Anolis sagrei: one gene and its partner. The protein of the gene in region 1 interacts with the protein of each later gene in a pairwise test. Links are inferred from orthologs where the notes say so. Each region holds a gene or a part of one and is shown on either strand. Other genes may lie near its edges.

Evidence for each region.
Region 2: the proteins of SGTA (region 1) and PBXIP1 interact in binary tests that used the Homo sapiens proteins (3 or more experiments, as listed by UniProt). The two-hybrid records come from large-scale screens. The link is inferred for Anolis sagrei from reciprocal best matches to the Homo sapiens genes SGTA and PBXIP1.

Annotation. Positions count from the first base shown.
Region 1 is NC_090034.1:62,623,897-62,634,826, forward strand, and holds the start of SGTA (small glutamine-rich tetratricopeptide repeat-containing protein alpha), read right to left. Parts: upstream 4,956-10,930; 5' UTR 4,847-4,955; intron 473-4,846; 5' UTR 460-472; coding exon 360-459; intron 1-359. Other genes in the region: THOP1 (thimet oligopeptidase), read left to right, coding at 5,316-5,331. UniProt on the Homo sapiens protein: Co-chaperone that binds misfolded and hydrophobic patches-containing client proteins in the cytosol. Mediates their targeting to the endoplasmic reticulum but also regulates their sorting to the proteasome when targeting fails.
Region 2 is NC_090032.1:266,919-276,654, reverse strand, and holds the start of PBXIP1 (pre-B-cell leukemia transcription factor-interacting protein 1), read right to left. Parts: upstream 4,603-9,736; 5' UTR 4,364-4,602; intron 8-4,363; exon of another isoform or gene 1-7. UniProt on the Homo sapiens protein: Regulator of pre-B-cell leukemia transcription factors (BPXs) function. Inhibits the binding of PBX1-HOX complex to DNA and blocks the transcriptional activity of E2A-PBX1.

The DNA.
Region 1 (10,930 bases):
ACTACAGCCTACTTCAGACCTCAGATCACATTCTTGATGTTTTGTTATAAGAGAGATGCCCTTGTCGGATGGCACAGAGAATGATCTCAAACAGAATTATCTCTGTTTTCTTAACAGATCAGAGATAACAGGTTATTCAGTCTAACAACCGAGACCACTGCATTGCATAATTATATTTGGTTGTATGGCACAAGAGAAGGTTCTACTCTAAAGGGTTTTTGGCTCCTTTCTGAAAGGTCAGGCTTTTCCTTAAAAGTTATGATCTCCAAAAGGCGTTCTTCCAAAAGCTTTGAGTCTCCTTGTGGAGAGAAAAGGCAGGGCATTGTTATGATGCTGATGATATTTGAATGAGGGCCCACCTTCAAGGCTCTCCTGGGCATCCGGGGAGAGGCCTCCGTCCTGGAGCTGATCCTGCAGGAATCGGACGATGGCGAAGGCCAGGCGCTTGTTGTCAGCCATCTCTCTCAGTCTCCTTGGTGCAGATGATAAAGCCGGGTGCAAATCAATATAATAACAATAGCAATAATAATAAACTTTTATTTATACCCCACCACCATCTCCCATAGGGACTCGGGGCCGCTTACAATATAACACACATGCAATACAACAGCATAAAATCAATAACACATCCGATAAAACCAATATATTAAATTAACAAAAGCAGCTTCCATTAAATAGAGACAGCAAAATATGGCTGTAGCCATGATTAAAAGATAATTGGCAATCAATGGCAACTATCTTAAATTGTTTCAAAAGCCACATTTTAGCTCTTTCCAAAAGTACTCTCCCTGGGGAGGGTGTTCCAGACCCCAGGAGGGTGGGCACCACCAAGAAGGGTCTTCTCTTTCTCTCCCTCGTCCCCACCAACCGCACTTGAGACGGAGGTGGGACCAAGAGGAGGGCCTCCAGGCAGATCTCAAAACTGACACCGGTTCATAGAAGCAAATGCGGTCTCGAAGATAGGCTGGACCTGAACTGTGTAGGGCTTTGTAGGTGGTAACCTGCACCTTGAATTGGGACCAGAAACTTATCAGAAGCCAGTGGAGCTGCTTTAATAGGGGCATCCTGCGCTCCCTATAATTAACTCCAGTTAGAAGCCTTGCTGCTGATCTTTGCATTAGCTGCAGCTTCCGAGCCGTCTTCAAAGGCAGCCCACGTAGAATGCATTTCAGTAGTCTATTCTGGATGTAACTAAGGCGTGGACCACCATGGCCATCAGGCTTTTTGAGGTACGGTCGCAGATAGTGCACAAGCTTTAACTATGCAAAGGCCCTCCGGGCCACCGTCGATACCTGAGCTTCAAGGGTCAGCACTGAGTCCAGGAGGACCCCCAGGCTGCAGAACTATGTCCTCAGGGGCAGCGTGACCCCTTCCGTCAAGCACAGGCCCTGATCAGCCTCGCCCTGATCCTAGGCCCTGATCAGCCTCGCAACTTACCAGGATTGTAAGCTAGTTGACCCTCATCCAGCCCATCAAAATTGCCAGGCACTGGTACAGGACCCAGGGAGCTTCCTTGGAATGGAGTGGAAAAGAGTAGTAGAGTTGGGATGGCACCCAAATCCAAAGCTCCGGAGGACCTCACCCATCAGTTTCATGTAGATATTGAAGAGTATGGGAGATAGAGTGGGACCTTGAGAGACCCCACAGTCCTCCTGCACCACCATCTGGGTCTGGTCCTCCAGGAAGGAGCAGAGCCACTGCAAAGCAATGGCCCCCAAGTCACATCCTATCCCAGAGAGTTCATCCAGATATAAATGTACTCCTGCCATATAAAAAGCCAGATGTGGCCATGGTGGTCCATGCCTTAGTTACATCTCGGAGGGATTACGGCAATGCACTCTACATGGGGCTGTCTCTGAAGACAGCTCGGAAACTGCTGGTGCAAAGATCAGTGGCCAGGTTGCTGACAGGAGCAGATTATAGGGAACATAGGTAAAGGTAAAGGTAGTCCCCTGACATTAAGTCCAGTCATGTCTGACTCTGGGGTGTGGTGCTCATCTCCATTTCTAAGCCGAAGAGCCGGCGTTGTCCGTAGACACCTCCAAGGTCATGTGGCCGGCATGACTACATGGAGCGCCGTTACCTTCTCGCCGGAGCGGTACCTATTGATCTACTCACATTTGCATGTTTTCGAACTGCTATGTTGGCAGAAGCTAGGGCTGACAGCGGACGCTCACGCCGCTCCCCGAAATCGAACCTGCGACCTTTCGCTCAACAAGCTCAGCAGCTCAGTGCTTTAACCCACGGCGCCACCGGGGCATGTTTCATAGGGAACATACCACCCCCTTATTAAAGCACCTCTATTGGCTGCCTATGTGTTTCCGGGCCCAATTCAAAGTGCAGGTTATTGCCTACAAAGCCCTACACAGTTCGGGTTTAGCATATTTACGCGACCGCATCTCCCCCTGTGGTCCAGGCCTTAAGATCTGCCAAGGAGGCCCTTCCCTTGCTCCCACCTCCACAGTTGGTGGGAACAAGAGAGAAGGCCTTCTCAGTAGTGGCCCCTGGCTCTGAAATGCCCTTGTGACTGACCAGGAGAGCCTCTGTTTTGTCTGGATTGAGTCTCAGCTTGTTGGTCCTCATCCAGCCCATCACAGCTGCCAGGCACTGGCCCAGGACTCGGGGAGCCTCCTTGGATTGTGCTGGAAATGAATAATAGAGTTGAGTGACATCTGCATAGAGATGGCACCGAACTCCAAAACTCCGGATGACCTCGCCCAGCGGTTTCATGTAGATATTGAAGAGCATGGGAGATAGAGTGGAACCTTGAGAGACCCCACAGTCCCCCTGCACCACCATCTGGGTCTGGTCCTCCAGGAAGGAGCAGAACCACTGCAAAGCAATGGCCCTCAAGTCACATCCTATCCCAGAGAGTTCATCCAGATATAAATGTACTCCTGCCATATAAAAAGCCAGATGTGGCCATGGTGGTCCATGCCTTAGTTACATCTTGGATGGATTACGGCAATGCACTCTACATGGGGCTGTCTCTGAAGAAGCTCGAAAACTGCTGGTGCAAAGATCAGTGGCCAGGTTGCTGACAGGAGCAGATTATAGGGAACATACCACCCCCTTATTAAAGCACCTCTATTGGCTGCCTATGTGTTTCCGGGCCCAATTCAAAGTGCAGGTTATTGCCTACAAAGCCCTACACAGTTCGGGTTTAGCATATTTACGCGACCGCATCTCCCCCTGTGGACCAGGCCTTAAGATCTGCCGGGGAGGCCCTTCCCTTGCTCCCACCTCCACAGTTGGTGGGAACAAGAGAGAAGGCCTTCTCAGTAGTGGCCCCCGGCTCTGAAATGCCCTTGTGACTGACCAGGAGAGCCTCTGTTTTGTCTGGATTGAGTCTCAGCTTGTTGGTCCTCATCCAGCCCATCACAGCTGCCAGGCACTGGCCCAGGACTCGAGTTTAGCATATTTACACGACCGCATCTCCCCCTGTGGACCAGGCCTTAAGATCTGCCGGGGAGGCCCTTCTCTTGCTCCCACCTCCACAGTTGGTGGGAACAAGAGAGAAGGCCTTCTCAGTAGTGGCCCCTGGCTCTGAAATGCCCTTGTGACTGACCAGGAGAGCCTCTGTTTTGTCTGGATTGAGTCTCAGCTTGTTGGTCCTCATCCAGCCCATCACAGCTGCCAGGCACTGGCCCAGGACTCGAGTTTAGCATATTTACGCGACCGCATCTCCCCCTGTGGACCAGGCCTTAAGATCTGCCGGGGAGGCCCTTCCCTTGCTCCCACCTCCACAGTTGGTGGGAACAAGAGAGAAGGCCTTCTCAGTAGTGGCCCCCGGCTCTGAAATGCCCTTGTGACTGACCAGGAGAGCCTCTGTTTTGTCTGGATTGAGTCTCAGCTTGTTGGTCCTCATCCAGCCCATCACAGCTGCCAGGCACTGGTCCAGGACTCGGGGAGCCTCCTTAAATTGTGCTGGAAACGAATAATAGAGTTGGGGTGACATCTGCATAGAGATGGCACTGAACCCCAAAACTCGGGATGACCTCGCCCAGCGGTTTCATGTAGATATTGAAGAACATGGGGGGGTGAGAATGGAACCTTTGCAGGACCCCATAGGTCAGTGGTTCTCAACCTGGGGTCCCCAGATGTTTTTGGCCTTCAACTCCCAGAAATCCTAACAGCTGGTAAACTAGCTGGGATTTCTGGGAGTTGTAGGCCATAAACATCTGGGGACCCAAGGTTGAGAACCACTGCCATAGGTCACAGGCCAAGAGGTTCGAGAAGGAGTCCCCCAACTTCACATACTGGGTGTGGCCCTCCAGGAAGGAGAGGAGCCATTGAAGTGCAATGCTCCCAAGACCCTTCCGGAGAGCCGGCCCAGAAGGACACCATAGTCAATTGTATAAAAACCGGTGAGAGATCCAAGAGAACCAATAGGGACACCCGACCCACGCCGAACTCCCTGCGGAGGCAACCCACTCACAAAGGTGACCAAAGCTGCTTCCATTATTAATAATAATAATAGGTACACGGTCACTGAAAGCAAGAGGTAAAGTGGGGTGCAAATCAATATAAAAAATACATAGTAACAGATACATAGCAGCTTGGGTCTCCTTTGGGAGAGATAAGATGAGGTGTCAATAAATACTGATAACAATAACAACTATAATAACTATGCAATATAATAATAATAACACATATCTGCTTTGAGTCTTCTTATGGAGGGATCAAGCAAGACATAAATACATATAATATCAACAATAATAAATATGTAATATAATAATCTAGATGGATAGATGCTTTGAGCCTCCTTATGGAGAGAGAAAGCAGAATATACATGAATACAATAATAATAGACACAAAGGGGGGCGCTTTGGAGAAGAAAGCTCACCAGTGGCAGCAAGCAGGCAGGCAAGCAGAGGCCTCCTCCTCCCCTCCTTCCCCCGAGTGCGCATGCGCAGACCAGGCCCCCTTGTCTCGCCTCGCCTGCTCCCAAGCGCGCCTGCGCAGGAAGAAGAGGAGGCGGAACTCGCTTTTGCGCCTGCGTCAATCAGTGGCAAGGGCCGCGGGAGGCCCACTTCCTTCTCTCCTTTTCCTCGAAGAGAGCGCGTGCGCAGTCCCGGTCAGTGCAATTGCCAAGGGATCGCATGCGCAGTTTGTCTATCTCTAGATGTCAGGTTGAAAAGCTTAGGTTAGGTTAGGAGGAGGACGCCAAAGGGCGCGGGGAGGGTGGCGCTGTCCCAACACTTCCGAGTGCCGTCGTCAAAAGGGGCGGAGTTTCTTAGTAGGCCAGGGGGCGGTCCACCAGAGGATTGGCAGCAGAAGCACCGGAAGTAGCAGACGCAGCAGCAGCAGCACACATGGCTCCCCCGACAGGTGAGGAAGGGGCCTTATTATTATTGGTAGTAGTATTATCATTGTCCTGATGGGGAAAAGCAAGGGGCAGGTCTGGAGGCTGCCCCCTTTCACCCTAGAGAGGCACAGAAGTCCCATTTATTTATTTATCGTGTCATCAGCAAGCATTGTGTTACACTTCTAACAGAGCAAAACAAACACACAGATTAAAAAGAAAAAGGAAAAAAAAACACACAGATTTTGCAGATTTGGTAGTTGATTAAATGTCCTTTGACCAGTATCTGGCCACTTGGAGTGCCTCTGGGGTTGCCACAAGAAGGTCCTCCATGGTGCATGTGGCAGGGCTCAGGGTGCATTGCAGCAGGTGGTCTGTAGTTTGCTCTTCTCCACACTCGCATGTCGAGGATTCCACTTTGTAGCCCCATTTCTGAAGGTTGGCTCTGCATCTCGTGGTGCCAGAACGCAGTCTGTTCAGCGCCTTCCAAGTCGCCCAGACCTCTGTGTGCCCAGGGGGGAGTCTCTCATTTGGGTTTGAGCCTGCCACTTTTGGACTCTTGCTTGCTGGGGTCTTCCAGCGAGTGTCTCTGTAGATCTAAGAAAACTATGTCTTGATTTAAGTCGTTGACGTGCTGGCTGATACCCAAACAGGGGATGAGCTGGAGATGTCTCTGCCTTGGTCCTTTCACTATTGGCTGCTACTTCCCGGCGGATGTCAGGTGGTGCAATACCGGCTAAGCAGTGTAATTTCTCCAGTGGTGTAGGGCGCAGACACCCTGTGATAATGCGGCATGTCTCATTCAGAGCCACATCCACTGTTTTAGTGTGGTGAGATGTGTTCCACACTGGGCATGCATACTCAGCAGCAGAGTAGCACAGCGCAAGGGCAGATGTCTTCACTGTGTCTGGTTGTGATCCCCAGGTTGTGCCAGTCAGCTTTCGTATGATATTGTTTCTAGCGCCCACTTTTTGTTTGATGTTCAGGCAGTGCTTCTTGTAGGTCAGAGCACGGTCCAAAGTGACTCCCAGGTATTTGGGTGCGCTGCAATGCTCCAGTGGGATTCCTTCCTTCCCAGGTAATCCTCAGAGCTCGGGATGCTTGTCTGTTCTTAAGGTGAAAGGCACATGTCTGTGTTTTAGATGGGTTGGGGATCAGCTGGTTTTCCCTGTAATAGGCAGTAAGAGCACCTAGAGCTTTGGAGCAACCAGAGAAGTCCCATGATATAGATATAGAGTTAAAAGAGACCTTTCCTTCCATCCATCATCATCATCATCATCATTTAATAACTTATTAATCGCCCTCCATCCGAGAATGCTCCAGGCGATTTACAGCTAAATCATAAAAGATAAAATACATACATACAAAAAATAAAAATTAACAGTCCAACCCCCTGACAAGAAACAGGAAAATCGCGTTAAAAGCACTCCCAACAGATGGGCATCCAGCCTCTGTTTAAGAGCCTCCATAGGAGCCTTTTAATCCCTCCAGTACTTTAGATGACTCCCTCCTTTCGCTTCTCCAGGAAACCCCCGCTCCATTAAGCATTGCACCAGGATATTATTATTATTATTATTATTATTATTTATTAAACTTTATTTGTACCCCGCTAGCATCTCCCAAAGGACTCGATGCGGCTTACAAAGGCCAAGGCCTCAAAGCACAACATAACAATACAAAACCTAAGGCAAATTAAAAACAATTAAAGCAATATAAACAACAAGCAATAAACAATACACTAAGACACAATAAAACTGGGCCGGGCCAGAGTAATGGGTATAGGATTAAAAGTGCTGATGTGACAGGTGGTATATAAGGCTTATAAGGCAAGTGCAGTGTGCGGTGTGCAGCAATCTTAGTTCTAATAAAGTGCTTCTGGGACTTGGTATTGGAGATTTCCTATTCTGGGAAGGCACATCGGAACAGCCAGGTCTTCAAGTTCTTTCTAAAGACTGCCAGTGTAGGGGACTGTCTAAGATCTTTGGGGAGGGTGTTCCAGAGTCGGGGGGCCACCACAGAAAAGGCCCTGTCTCGTGTCCCCACCAGATGCGCTTGCGACACAGGCGGGATCACGAGTAGGGCCTCTCCGGATGATCGAAGTGAACGCGTGGATTCGTAGACAGAGATGCGATCACGCAGGTAGGATGGTCCCAAACCGTTCAGGGCTTTGTAGGTAAGCACCTGCACCTTAAATTGGGCTCGGAAAATAAACGGCAGCCAGTGGTGCTCCTTGAACAGGATATATTTTGATTCCCTGGGATCAGACAGTTGACTTACCCCGTTATATATTACTACTGCCCTGGCCTACCCTGGGTGTGTGTGTGGGGGGGAAGGGTCCCGACTCGGGGGGAGACCATTGAGGTAGTGGGGGGGGGGGGGAGAGGAGGAGAGGATCTGGTTGAATTCATCAACTCAAGGAGAAGCACAACAAAGTTCTTGCAACCCTGAGGCAAGTTAAGCCGGTTAGCCTACATGACATCAACTACCTAGATCAGTCAGTCTGGTTTCAGGCCTAGTCACGGCACCGAGACAGCTTTGGTCGCCTTGGTGGATGACCTCCGTAGAGAGCTGGACAGGGGGAGTGTGACCCTGTTGGTTCTCTTGGACATCTCAGCGGCTTTCGATACCATCGATCATGGTATCCTTCTGGGTTGACTCTCTGGGATGGGTCTTGGGGGCATGGTTTTGTCCTGGCTCCGGTCCTTCCTGGAGGGTCAATCCCAGATGGTGAAGCTGGGAGATGCCTGCTCGGACCCCTGGCCTTTGACCTGTGGGGTCCCGCAAGGCTCTATTTTGTCTCCCATGCTTTTAAACATCTACATGAAACCGCTGGGAGAGGTCATCCGGAGTTTTGGAGTTAGGTGCCATCTCTACGCAGATGACTCACAACTCTATTACTCATTTCTACCTAACTCCAAGGAGGCCTCTCGGGTGCTGGACGAGTGCCTGGCCGTTGTGTCTAATCTGGATGAGGAAGAACAAGCTGAAGATCAATCCCGACAAGACAGAGGTCCTCCTGGTCGATCGTAAACCTGATGGGGGTATAGGGTGGCAACCTGTGTTGGACGGGGTTGCACTCCCTCTGAAGTCACAGGTCCACAGTTTGGGAGTTCTCTTGGACTCATCACTTGCGCTTGAGGCTCCGACGTCGGTGGTGTCCGGGAGGGCTTTTGCACAATTGAGACTCGTGCGCCAACTGCAACCATACCTCGCAAAAGCTGATCTGGCCGGGGTGGTCCACGCCTTGGTCACCTCTAGATTGGGCTACTGTAATGCGCTCTATGTGGGGCTGCCCTTGAAAACGGCTCGGGAATTTCAACTGGTCCAACGGGCAGCGGCCACAATGTTAACTGGTGCTCCTTACAGAGAGAGTTCAACCCTCCTGTTCAAGGAGCTCCACTGGCTGCCGTTTATCTTCTGAGCCCAATTTAAGGTGCAGGTGCTTACCTACAAAGCCCTAAACGGTTTGGGACCTTCCTACCTGCGTGACCACATCTCCGTTTATGAACCCACGCGCTCACTTCGTTCATCCGGAGAGGCCCTGCTCGCGGTCCTGCCTGCGTCGCAGGCGCGTCTGGTGGGGACGCGAGACAGGGCCTTTTCTGTGGTGGCCCCTCGACTCTGGAATACCCTCCCCAAAGATCTTAGACAGGCCCCTACGTTGGCAGTCTTTAGAAAGAACTTGAAGACCTGGCTGTTCCGATGTGCCTTTCCAGAATAGGAAAACTCCAACAACAAGTCCCAGAAGCACTTTATTAGAAATTAAGATTGCTGGCACATTGCACTTACCCTATAATCCTCACATATCACCTGTCACATCAGCACTTTTAATTTGTACCCATTACTCTGGCCCGGCCCAGTTTTATTGTGTCCTGGTGTATTGTTTTATTACTTGTTGTTTAATATTGCTTTAACTGTTTTTAATTTGCATTAGGTTATGTATTGTTATGTTTGTGTTTTGAGGCTTTGGCCTTTGTAAGCCGCATCGAGTCCTTCGGGAGATGCTAGCGGGGTACAAATAAAGTTAATAATAATAATAATAATAATAATGACAGACCCCCTAGGCTTAAGGTCAACGGTAAAACAGGAGTTATCCAGGACTTGGTCCTGGAAGAAAAGGCCGTTCTAGCTTGTATTACCAAAATCTGATTGGACAAGCTGGGTGACTATGCCCACCCTCCTGGGATGGAGGAGCTCCTCGACAATCCAATCACTTGATGCAGCGAGTTCACGCATCATTTTGCAGATAAAGTCGCTCAGATATGCTCCGATCTGGACGCCAACATTCTTACATTGTCAGGTGAGGTAACCGAGGCATCGGTCAGTTCGATCTTATTAGATTCATTTCAACTGGTGCAGCCTGATGACATGGACAGGATCCTTGGAGCGGTGAGGGCGACTACATGCGCACTAGACCCTTGCCCGTCGTGGCTTATAAAACTTGCTGGAGGAGGGGTGGCCGATTGGTTGTAAAAGATAATAAATGCTTCATTGGAGCAAGGGCAAATTCCACCATGCCGAAAACAGGCAGTCATGAGACCGCTCTTTAAAAAGGCATCTCTTGACTCATCAATATCGAACAACTATCGGCCAATCTCAAATCTCCCTTTTTTTGGGTAAGATTCTGGAACGAGTGGTTGCTTCTCAACTCCAGGGATTCCTGGACGAAACCGATTTTCTGGACCCATCGCAGTCTGGTTTCAGGCCTGGTCACAGTACCGAGACTGCTTTGGTTGCCTTGGTGGATGACCTCTACAGAGAACTTGACAGGGGGAGTGTGACCTTGTTGGTTCTCCTGGACATCTCAGTGACTTTCGATACCATCGATCATGGTATCCTTCTGGGATGGCTCTTTGGAATGCAGTGCCCCCATTCCTTCTGGAGGGCTGCACCCAGTTGGTGAAGGTGGGGGATACCTGACCGGACCCCTGGCCTTTGACCTATGGGGTCCCGCAGGGTTCTATTCTTTCCCCCATGCTTTTTAATATCTACATGAAACCACTGGGTGAGGTCATCTGGAGTTTTGGAGTTCGTTGTCATCTCTACACAGATGACATGCAACTCTATTACTCCTTTCCACCAAAATCCAAGGAAGCCCCTCGGATCCTGGACCAGTGCCTGGCTGCTGTGATGAACTGGATCAGGGCCAACAAGCTGAAATTTAATCCTGACAAGACAGGTCAGTCGCTTGGCCGAACGGGGTATAGAGTGGCAACCTGTGTTTGATGGGGTTACACTCCCCTTGAAGACACAGGTCTGCAGTTTGGGGGTCCTCCTGGACTCAGCGCTGACACTTGATGCTCAGGCATCGGCAGAGGGCGGGAGGGCCTTTGCACAGTTCAAACTTCTGCGTCAGCTGCGACTGTACCTCGAGAAGTCTGACTTGACCATGGTGGTCCACACTTTAGTTACCTCAAGATTGGACTATTGTAATGCACTCTACATAGGGTCGCCCTTGAAGACGGTTCAGAAACTACAACTGGTGCAAAGGTCAGCGGCCAGATTGTTAACTGGAGCAAATTACAGGGAGCAGTCAACCCCCCTGTTTAAATATCTCCACTGGCTACCGATAAGTTTCCAGTCCCAATTCAAGGTGCAGGTTATTACCTATAAAGCTCTAAACAG
Region 2 (9,736 bases), on another chromosome or scaffold:
AAGAAAGAAAAAGAGAGAAAAAAGAAAGAAAAAAGAATGAGGAGAGAAAGAAAAAGGAGAAATAGAGAGAGAAGGGAGTGAGAAAGAAAAGAAAGAAAAAGAACAAGGAGAAAAAGAAAGAGAAAGGGAGAAATAGAGAGAGAAGAGAGTGAGAAAGAAAGAGAGAGGAGAGAAAGAATGAGAGAGGGTGAGAGAAAGAGAAAGAAAGCATGAAAGGGGGGAGAAACAGAAAGAAAAACAAGGAGGAGAGAAAGAAAAAAGGAGAAATAGAGAGAGAAGAGACTGAAAAAGAATGAGAAAGAGAGGAGAGAAAGAATGAGAGAGGGTGAAAGAAAGAGAAAGGGAAAGACAAAGCGTGAAAGAGAGTGAGAAAAAGAAAGAAAAACAAAGACAAGAAAGAGAAAGAACAAGAGAAAGTGAAAGAAAAAAGCAAAAGAGAAAGGAAGAGGAAGAGAAAACAAAAAGACAGAGAGAGGAAAAAGAAAGAAAAAATAGAGAGAGAAAGAGAAAGAAGGAGACAGAATGAGGGAAAGAGATAGAAAAAGGAGGAGAGAAAAAGAGGGGGAAAGAAAAAAGGAAAGAGAAAGAAAAATAGAAAAAGAAATAGAGAGAAAAAAGGAAAAGAGGGAGAGAAAAAAAGAGAAAGGAAGAGAGAGAAAGAGAAAGAAAGAAAGAAAGAAAGAGGAAGAGAAAACAGAGAGAAAGGAAGACAGAGCAATAGGGAAAGAAAGAGAAAAGAGAGAGAGAGGAAAAAGAAAGAAAAATAGAGAAAGAGAAAGAAGGAGAGGGAAAGAAAGAGAGAAAGAAAGAACGAAAGAGAAAGAAAAATAGAAAAGGAAATAGAGAGAAAAAAGGAAAAGAGGGAGAGAAAAAAAGAGAAAGGAAGAGAGAAAGAGAAAGAGAAAGAAAGAAAGAAAGAAAGAAAGAGGAAGAGAGAGAGAAAACAGAGAGAAAGGAAGACAGAGCAAAAGGGAAAGAAAGAGAAAAGAGAGAGAGAGGAAAAAGAAAGAAAAATAGAGAAAGAGAAAGAAGGAGAGGGAAAGAAAGAGGGAAAGAAAGAAAGAAAGAAAGAAAGAAAGAAAGAAGGAGAAAGAAAAATAGAAAAGGAAATAGAAAAAAGGAAAAGAGGGAGAGAAAAAAAGAGAAAGGAAGAGAGAGAGAGAAAGAGAAAGAAAGAAAGAGGAAGAGAGAGAGAAAACAGAGAGAAAGGAAGACAGAGCAATAGGGAAAGAAAGAGAAAAGAGAGAGAGAGGAAAAAGAAAGAAAAATAGTGAAAGAGAAAGAAGGAGAGGGAAAGAAAGAAAGAAAGAAAGAAAGAAGGAGAAAGAACAATAGAAAAAGAAATAGAGAGAAAAAAGAAAAAGTCAAAGAGGAAGAGAGAAAAAGAGGAAGAAATTTCCTTTATGTTCCTCTCAATTAATTAATTTTACGATCCGACGGAGGGGCGCAAGGTGGCGAAACAAAGCCGCAGAGAGAAGGGTGGCCAAAGAGAGAGAGAGAAAGAAAGAAAGAAAGAAAGAAAGGAGGAGAGAGTGCCAAGGACGGGCTCCTTGGGGGGAAGGCGGCTGTGCCCGGTCTCTTCTGGCCGGAGAAAGAGAGAGAGGGACCGGGAATGCGGGGAATCCCAACCATGCCCTCTCCTTCCCAGAGCGCTGCATGGCGGTGTGTGTGTGTGCAAAAAGAAGGGCCAGAATAGCAACAGAAGGAGGTGCCTTGGCCCTGGGGATAGTTGAGGGCCCCCCCTTGGAACTGGCTGCCCTCAAGCCAAACCCCAAAGAGCCCCTTCTATATTGGAGTTGGAGTTGCTGGGATTTATAGTTCACCTGCAATCAAAGAACATTTTGAACCCCACCAATAATAACATTGGGCCAAACTTCCCACATGGAATCCCCATGACCATCAGAAAATACTGTGTTTTCTGATGGTCTTTGGTGACCCCTCTGACACCCCCTCGTGACCCCCCCAGGGGTCCCAACCCCCAGGTTGAGAAACACTGCCATAGACGTGCAACACATAGAGGCCATTCAACATTCCCGCTTTTCCGGCTTCAGGAGGGTGTGCTGAGGTCCGGCCACAGGGGGAGCTGTGACACCCAGTTCTGGATGGAGGACTTCCTCATTCTTATGCACGCTGCTGGAAGGTTTTATGGCGCTGTAAATTAATTAAGTTAGCCTCCCCGCGTAAAGCAATACCTAAATTTCCTAGTGAAGAGAGAGGGGGCCAGGAAGACAGCTCCACCTCGTCTCCTTGTCTATTTCCTTCCTTCCCCAGATTCCTCCGTGGGGCGAGCAGAAAGAGGGACAGCTGCAAGGGCTCAAAAGGGAAGGCGCCCGGCCTTATTTATAGCTGCGCTTAATGCCTTGCAGCAGGTGGGACGCTCCCAAACCTGGGCAAGCAAGCAAGCGAGCAAGCAAGCAAGAGCATGGCCAGGGTTCCCTCCCTCCGCTCTCTCCTTCCTTCCTTCCTTCCCCTTCGGAGGCTCCCAGCCTCTCTCTCTCTCTCTCTCTCTCTCTCTCTCTCTCTCTTCTGGGCAAAAACTTCCTTTTTAGGGCAAGTCACTTTGTTTGATTTCCAGGCACTCGTTGGACTCAAGGCGACCGACCGGGACACAGGAACAGACCCAAAGAAAGGACAACTGGAACCAAGTTCCCTTCCTCTTTGGAGAGAGTCCTTCTCCCTCTTCCATTGAAAGGAGTTGTTGTTCACCCCCAGAAGTGTCGCTTTGTGTGTCTGCCACAAACTAGGTGGCAATGGGTTGAGACTCCATGATGAGACCTTCATTGAGACGCTATAGCACATGACATTGATAACAACCCAGGAACAATAATCACGTCACATAGTATTATTATTATTATTATTATTATTATTATTATTATTACTACTACTACTACTCTTATATTTATTAATATAATATTTAGTATATAATGATATAATTGTTGAGACTTGACGATGGGACATTCATTGAAAAACTCGAGCACATGACGTTGATAACAACCCAGGAACAATAATCACGTCACATAGTATTATTATTATTATTATTATATTTATCAATATAATATTTAGTATATTTATTTATATTTATTTATTTATCGTGTCATTATATACTATATTTAGTATATAATGATATAATTGTTGAGACTCGATCATTGAGAAGCTCGAGTACATGACAACAATCATCACGTCACATAGTATTATTATTATTATTATTATTACTACTATTTCTATTAATATAATATTTAGTATATAATGATATAATTGTTGAGACTCAATGATGGGACATTCATTGAAAAGCTATAGCACATGACATTGATAACAACCCAGGAACAATAATCACAACACATAGTATTATTATTATTATTATTATTATTATTATTATTATTATATTTATTAATATAATATTTAGTATATAATGATATAATTGTATTGCTATTGCAATAATATTACATCATAAGATAATTAATATAACTTAATAATATCATATAATAATAGAAATAATACAATAACATATATAATAGTTTTTAAATAAATACTAAATAAATAAACATATATTATTCTATTTATTAATATAATATTTAGTATATAATGATATAATTGTATTGCAATAATATTACATCATAAAATAATTAATATAACAATAATATCATATAATAATAGATATAATACAATAATAACATATATAATAATAAATGTAATTATAATATAAAACGAAAATAATATAATATATCATAATAATAAATATAATTACATACCGTAACGTAATGTGCTACAGCAGGATGTCCCAGAAGAACAATGTTTTGGCAATTTAATCAACTTTCCCTACGTTTTGATGGCAGACCCAATTAGGAAATGATGTTGATAACACAACAATAATATAATATAAATAATATAATATAATAATAAAACAATAAATAATATAATATAATATAAAACAACAATAATATAATACATAATAATAATAAATGTAATAATAAATATCATGACATACTGTAACGTAATGTGCTATTATAGCAGGATGTCCCAGAAGAACAATATTTTGGCAATTTAATCAACTTTCCCTATGTGTTGATGACAGACCCAATTAGGAAATGACGTTGATAGCCCAGGGACACAAATTGTGTTGCAAAGTGTTATGGACACTTTTGGGAAAGAGGATGCTGTTGCCGTGGCAACCCTGCACGCGCTGGACCAAATCCAAGGGAGGAAGGAAAGCACGCCCAATCCTACAGTCATTATTATTACAATAATAATAATAATAATAATAATAATAATAATACTAATAATAATAATAATAATAATGCTGCTAGTTCTGCCTCTCAATGGCCAACCCCTGGCCCTCCCTGTGGGGCCCCCAAGGGATCCTTACCTGGAAGGCAGGTGGGCAAGCTCTTTCCTTCCTTTCTTTCCCTTCTTCCTTCCTTCCTTTCGGCTTCTCAACTTTCCTCTCTTGAAACTTCTGTTGCAGCTGCTTCCCCTGCAAGGTGGGCGGGACCGAGGGCAGCCAGGGAACCAATCAGGAGGCGTGAGAGGGAGAGCCCAGCCAATGAGTGCAAAGCTGGCTGGAAAATAAGTCTGCAAGAAGTCTGCTCCACTTGCAGGTTGGCATTAAAGGAGACATAATAATAATAATAATAATAATAATAATAATAATAATAATAATAATAATAATAATAATATAGAGGAAACTCCTGTGGGGATTGGGAGATGCCAGGTCAATCATCATCACCATCATCATCCTCATCAGACTCTCTGTTAATCCATGACCTCTCGTGGGTTTAGTAGATGTTGCATTAACAATAAATAATAATAATAATAAATATATTAATAATACTACAATAATAATACAATACAAAAATAATACAATTACCCCATGGGGATTGTTAGATGTGTATCAATAATAATAATAATAATAATAATAATAATATATTAATAATACAGTATTATTAATTACTGTATTTAATAATACAGTAATTAATAATACAATTAACCCATGGCCCCCATGAAGATTGGTAGATGTGTATAAATGATAATAATAAATATATTAATAATAATACAGTAGATCCCCAGTTAACCCATGGTACCTATGGGGATTGGGATCAATAATAATAATAATTATTAATAAATATATAAATATTAATACAGCAGACCCCCAATTAACCCACGGTACTAATGGGGATTGGTGGATGTGTACCAATAACAAACATCATAATAATAATAATAATAAATATATTAATAATAATACCCCAGACCCCCAATTAACCCACAGTACCCATGGGGATTGGTAGTTGGTATCAATAATAATAGTAATAATAATAATAATAATAATAATAATAATAATATATAAATAATAATACAGTAGACCCCCCAGTTAACCCATGGTACCCATGGGAACTGGTAGATATGTACCAATAATATATATATATATATTAATAATAATATAATAGACCCCCAGTTAACTCATACTACACATGGGGATTGGTAGTTGTGTACCAATAATAATAGTAAATATGTTAATAATAATATAATAGACCCCCAGTTAACCCATGGTACCCATGGGGATTGGTAGATGTATACCAATAATAATATTAATAATAATAATAAAATATATTAATAACAATACAGTAGACCCCCAATTAACCCATGCCCCCCCCATGGGAATTGGTAGATGTGTACCAATAATAAAATATATATATATATTAATAATAATACAGTAGACCTCCCAATTAACCCATGGTACCCATGGGGATTGGTAGATGTGTACCAATAATAAATATATTATTATTAATAATAATAAATATTTTAATAATAACACAGCAGACCCCCAATTAACCCACGGTACCCATGGTAATTGGTGGATGTGTATCAATAATAAATATAAATATAATAATATATGAATAATAATACTGTAGACCCCCCAATTAATCCATGGTACCTATGGGGATTGGTAGATGTATACCAATAATAATAATAATAATAATAATATATAAAAATATAAATAAATAATATAGTCGACTCCCAATTAACCCATGGCCGCCCCCATGGGGATTGGTAGATGTGTATCAATAATAATATCAACAACAATAACAGGGATCGATAAATGCTGTGTGAGTGCAGTTTGTGGTTGCTTGAGAGTCCCTCTCTCTTAAAGGCAGACCTCGTGCTGTAACCCAGACCATAAACTCTGCATCGACTGGGGATTCACCTTGCAGTCCAGTCGTGAAAAGCAAACCAAGACCATCAACGCCAAACCCAACAGCCTGGCTGTAGCATGACAACCAGCTTTTCAAAAATGCAAAGTGTGGTTTCTTTGGTTTTGTTTCCACCTGTTGCTTGGATTCCGGTTAACTAAGAGTCTGCTGTAGTCATGTTTTGTTTCACATAGAAAAAAATATATTTCTATGGGTTGCCTTTGGAGCCTCCGCTTTGGGGACTCCCCCAAGCCCAAGGGCCGCCGTCCTTTGCAAAGACCGGTCTTCTTTCTCTTCGGCTGGAGAAGGAATGCAGCCAAGAAGATCCCAACAGAGGAGGGAAGGAGAGAGCGGTGCTGGCCCCAAACTGTCACCACATTTCAAGGAAGGAGGCGGCAAAGACAAAGGGGGAGAGACGGCCCCACAAAAGGTCTCTCCGCTGGCCCTGCTCCAGCTGGAAGGCCGACCCACACTTGGGAGCAAGGAGCAAACACGGGGCCAAGGCTCTTCCTCTGGAACATCGGGGTTAGGAATCCTTGGAAGCGTCTACACGGTGATTCCAATGCACTTTGGTCCCCTTCTGCCCCGTTGCCCCCCTCACCTGCAATGCTTCTGCACACCCCAAACTGAACCCCAAACTGAGCAAGACACAGGGACGGGCAAGTGGCATCAAAGGCTGGACAAAATAAGAACCATAATAATAACCACAATAATAATAATCCGGCATATAGATCTCCTTTGCTGTGACATACTGTGCTTCTGTGTCAGAAAAATAATAATAATAATGATATTTAATCGTCGAAGGCTTTCATGGCTAGAATCACTGGGTTGCTGTAGGTTTTTCAGGCTATATGACCACGTTCTAGAAGCATTCTCTTCTGACGTTTCACCTGCATCTATGGCAAGCATCCTCAGAGGTTGTGAGGTCTCTCACAACCTCTGGGGATGCTTGCCACAGATGCAGGCGAAACGTCAGGAGAGAATGCTTCTAGAACACTCTCACTACCTCTGGGGATGCTTGCCATAGATGCAGGCGAAAGGTCAGGAGAGAATGCTTCTAGAACACTCTCACAACCTCTGTGGATGCTTGCCAGAGATGCAGGCGAAATGTCAGGAGAGAATGCTTCTAGAACAGTCTCACAAACCTCTTGCCATAGATGCAGGCGAAATGTCAGGAGAGAATGCTTCTAGGACACTCTCACAACCTCTGAGGACGCTTGCCATAGATGCAGGCGAAACGTCAGGGGAGAATGCTTCTAGAACACTCTCACAACTCTTCCCATAGATGCAGGCGAAATGTCAGGAGAGAATGCTTCTAGAACATGGCCATATAGCCCGGAAAACAGACAACAACCCATTAATAATTATGTCTCCCAAAGGAGACTCACTTAACATAAAAGCTGACAAAATGCCAAAAGTTAACATAAAACTTTTGTCTGGGGTTGCAAAATTGTCCATCTACACTGTCGAATTAATGCACTTTGATACCACTTTGATGCTAAAGGATGGTGAGAGTTCTAGTTCAGTGGCATTCGGCAGACCTTGTCAAATCATGAATCCGTAGCACTGAGCCATGGCCGTGCTATGCATTAATGCTAATAATAATAATAATATAATTGTATATTTTATATTAAATGTAATATTACTAATAATATTACAGGATAATGTTATAGTACAATGTAATATATAATATTAATATTGTGCTAAGATAATAATAATAATAATATATTGCATTTACTTTTTACTTGTCAGCCGCTCTGAGTCCCCTTCGGGGTGAGAAAGGCGCCATATCAAGGTCGTCAATAATAAATAAATACGTAAATAAATCAATTTATATTTGCAGGTGGCTGATTTTGGAGGCAGCGGGTTCCGGGCTTGACCCCAAACATCCCCAATCATTACTAAATATGTAAACATTTTCAAGAGGAAAGGAATACCCCAATTACTTTACAAAACGTCACTTTTTTAATGTTTTCACATAAAAACAAGGAGGAAAAAAGGGGGGAATTACAAACCCAAGGATGGCGCCCCGCTCGCTCCCCCCACCCCCCAATCCCCCCTCCCTCTCTTCCCAAAAACCCCAAACACATGCGCAACCCAAGGAAAGTCAACAAAAAAAAAGGGATTTGCTTAAAAAACATTATTTAAAAAATAATGATCATGATCATAATAATAATCCGTGTCCCGAGAGTCTTGTTTCCGTCTCTCCCGCTCTCGGGGGCAGAGCTTGGAAGCAGAAAGCGTTCCCCAAGAGGTATCTCGTGTCCCCCAAAAAAGGTCCGGCTTCGGAATCCGTTCCAGGCCAAATTTAGGGGAAAATTAGGAAATTTCCCATCTCCTTTCCCCCAAAGTCTGTAGAGTGTCCTTATTGCCATTGATTTGGAAACGGAAGCAGAAAAGCGTCCACAAGCGTATAGAGCAAATGGACGCAGCTGTCGTGCGTCACTCTGGAAAGCAAGAGGTGTGGACTAGTGCTGATAACAGCACTTCCTGTGTTCACAATGTTACGATTGGACGGTGCGCTGAGTGTTAAGTAGCTTCTAATGTATATCGCTGTAAAATAATGTAGTTTATAGCCTAAGGTGGCTGTCATTGATCACGTTCCTGCCTTACTGACAGCTGGGTTATGGGCCCAGAACCACGTTTCACCGCTGCATCTAATCTACGATGATTGTCACTGACAGAGGTCTCTTCCCAGAAAGGCTTTATTGTTTGAGAAGGGAAGCCCCATCAGGCTCCTCTCTGAGGGTCCTTCCACACAGCCGTATCAACCAGAACATCCAAGCAGATCGTCCACAAAAGGGCCAGAGGATTAGCACGGGTGGTAAATCATCAGCAATTATAAGATCTATCAACCAAAAGGTTGCAAGTTCGAAGCCCTGGGTTGGCGTGAGCTGCCAACTGTCAGCCTAGCTCATTGTTTACCTAAGCAATTTGAAAACAGCTTTAGAGAAATTAGGTACCACTATATAGAGGGGGAGGTGTTTTACGACACCATAAAGAAGGAAGATCAGAAAATGTTGGGCCACCAAAAGGAAGGAGGAAGCCAACAGCACCCCCTGGACTCGAGCTCCAACTTCCATGGCACCTCCTTCTGTTCTGTCTGTCTGTGTATTGAATGTTTGCCGTGTATGTGTACTGTGATCCGCCCTGAGTCCCCTTCGGGGTGAGAAGGGCGGAATATAAATAAAGTATTATTATTATTATTATTATTATTATTATTATTATTATCTGCTTTGAACTGGATTATCTGAGTCTACACTGCCATATAATAATCCAGTTCGATGAAACATACAGCCATGTGGAAGGGGCCTTAGAGACACAGACCCAAGTCAGCAAACTTTCCTTGTTTTCCATTAACTCTTTTCTCTAGCATTAAAAAGTCCGGCTCTCTGACCTGTCGGAACACCTTACCTGTGGACTTTGTTTACTACCGTAAGCTCCCCTATCCCACTGCCTATTCTGCTACAGAGACCAAATACCCCTACATGTGTGTCTGCGTGAGAGGTCTGGCTGCTTCAGGTGGGAGAAGGAACACGTGGCTTCCGGTC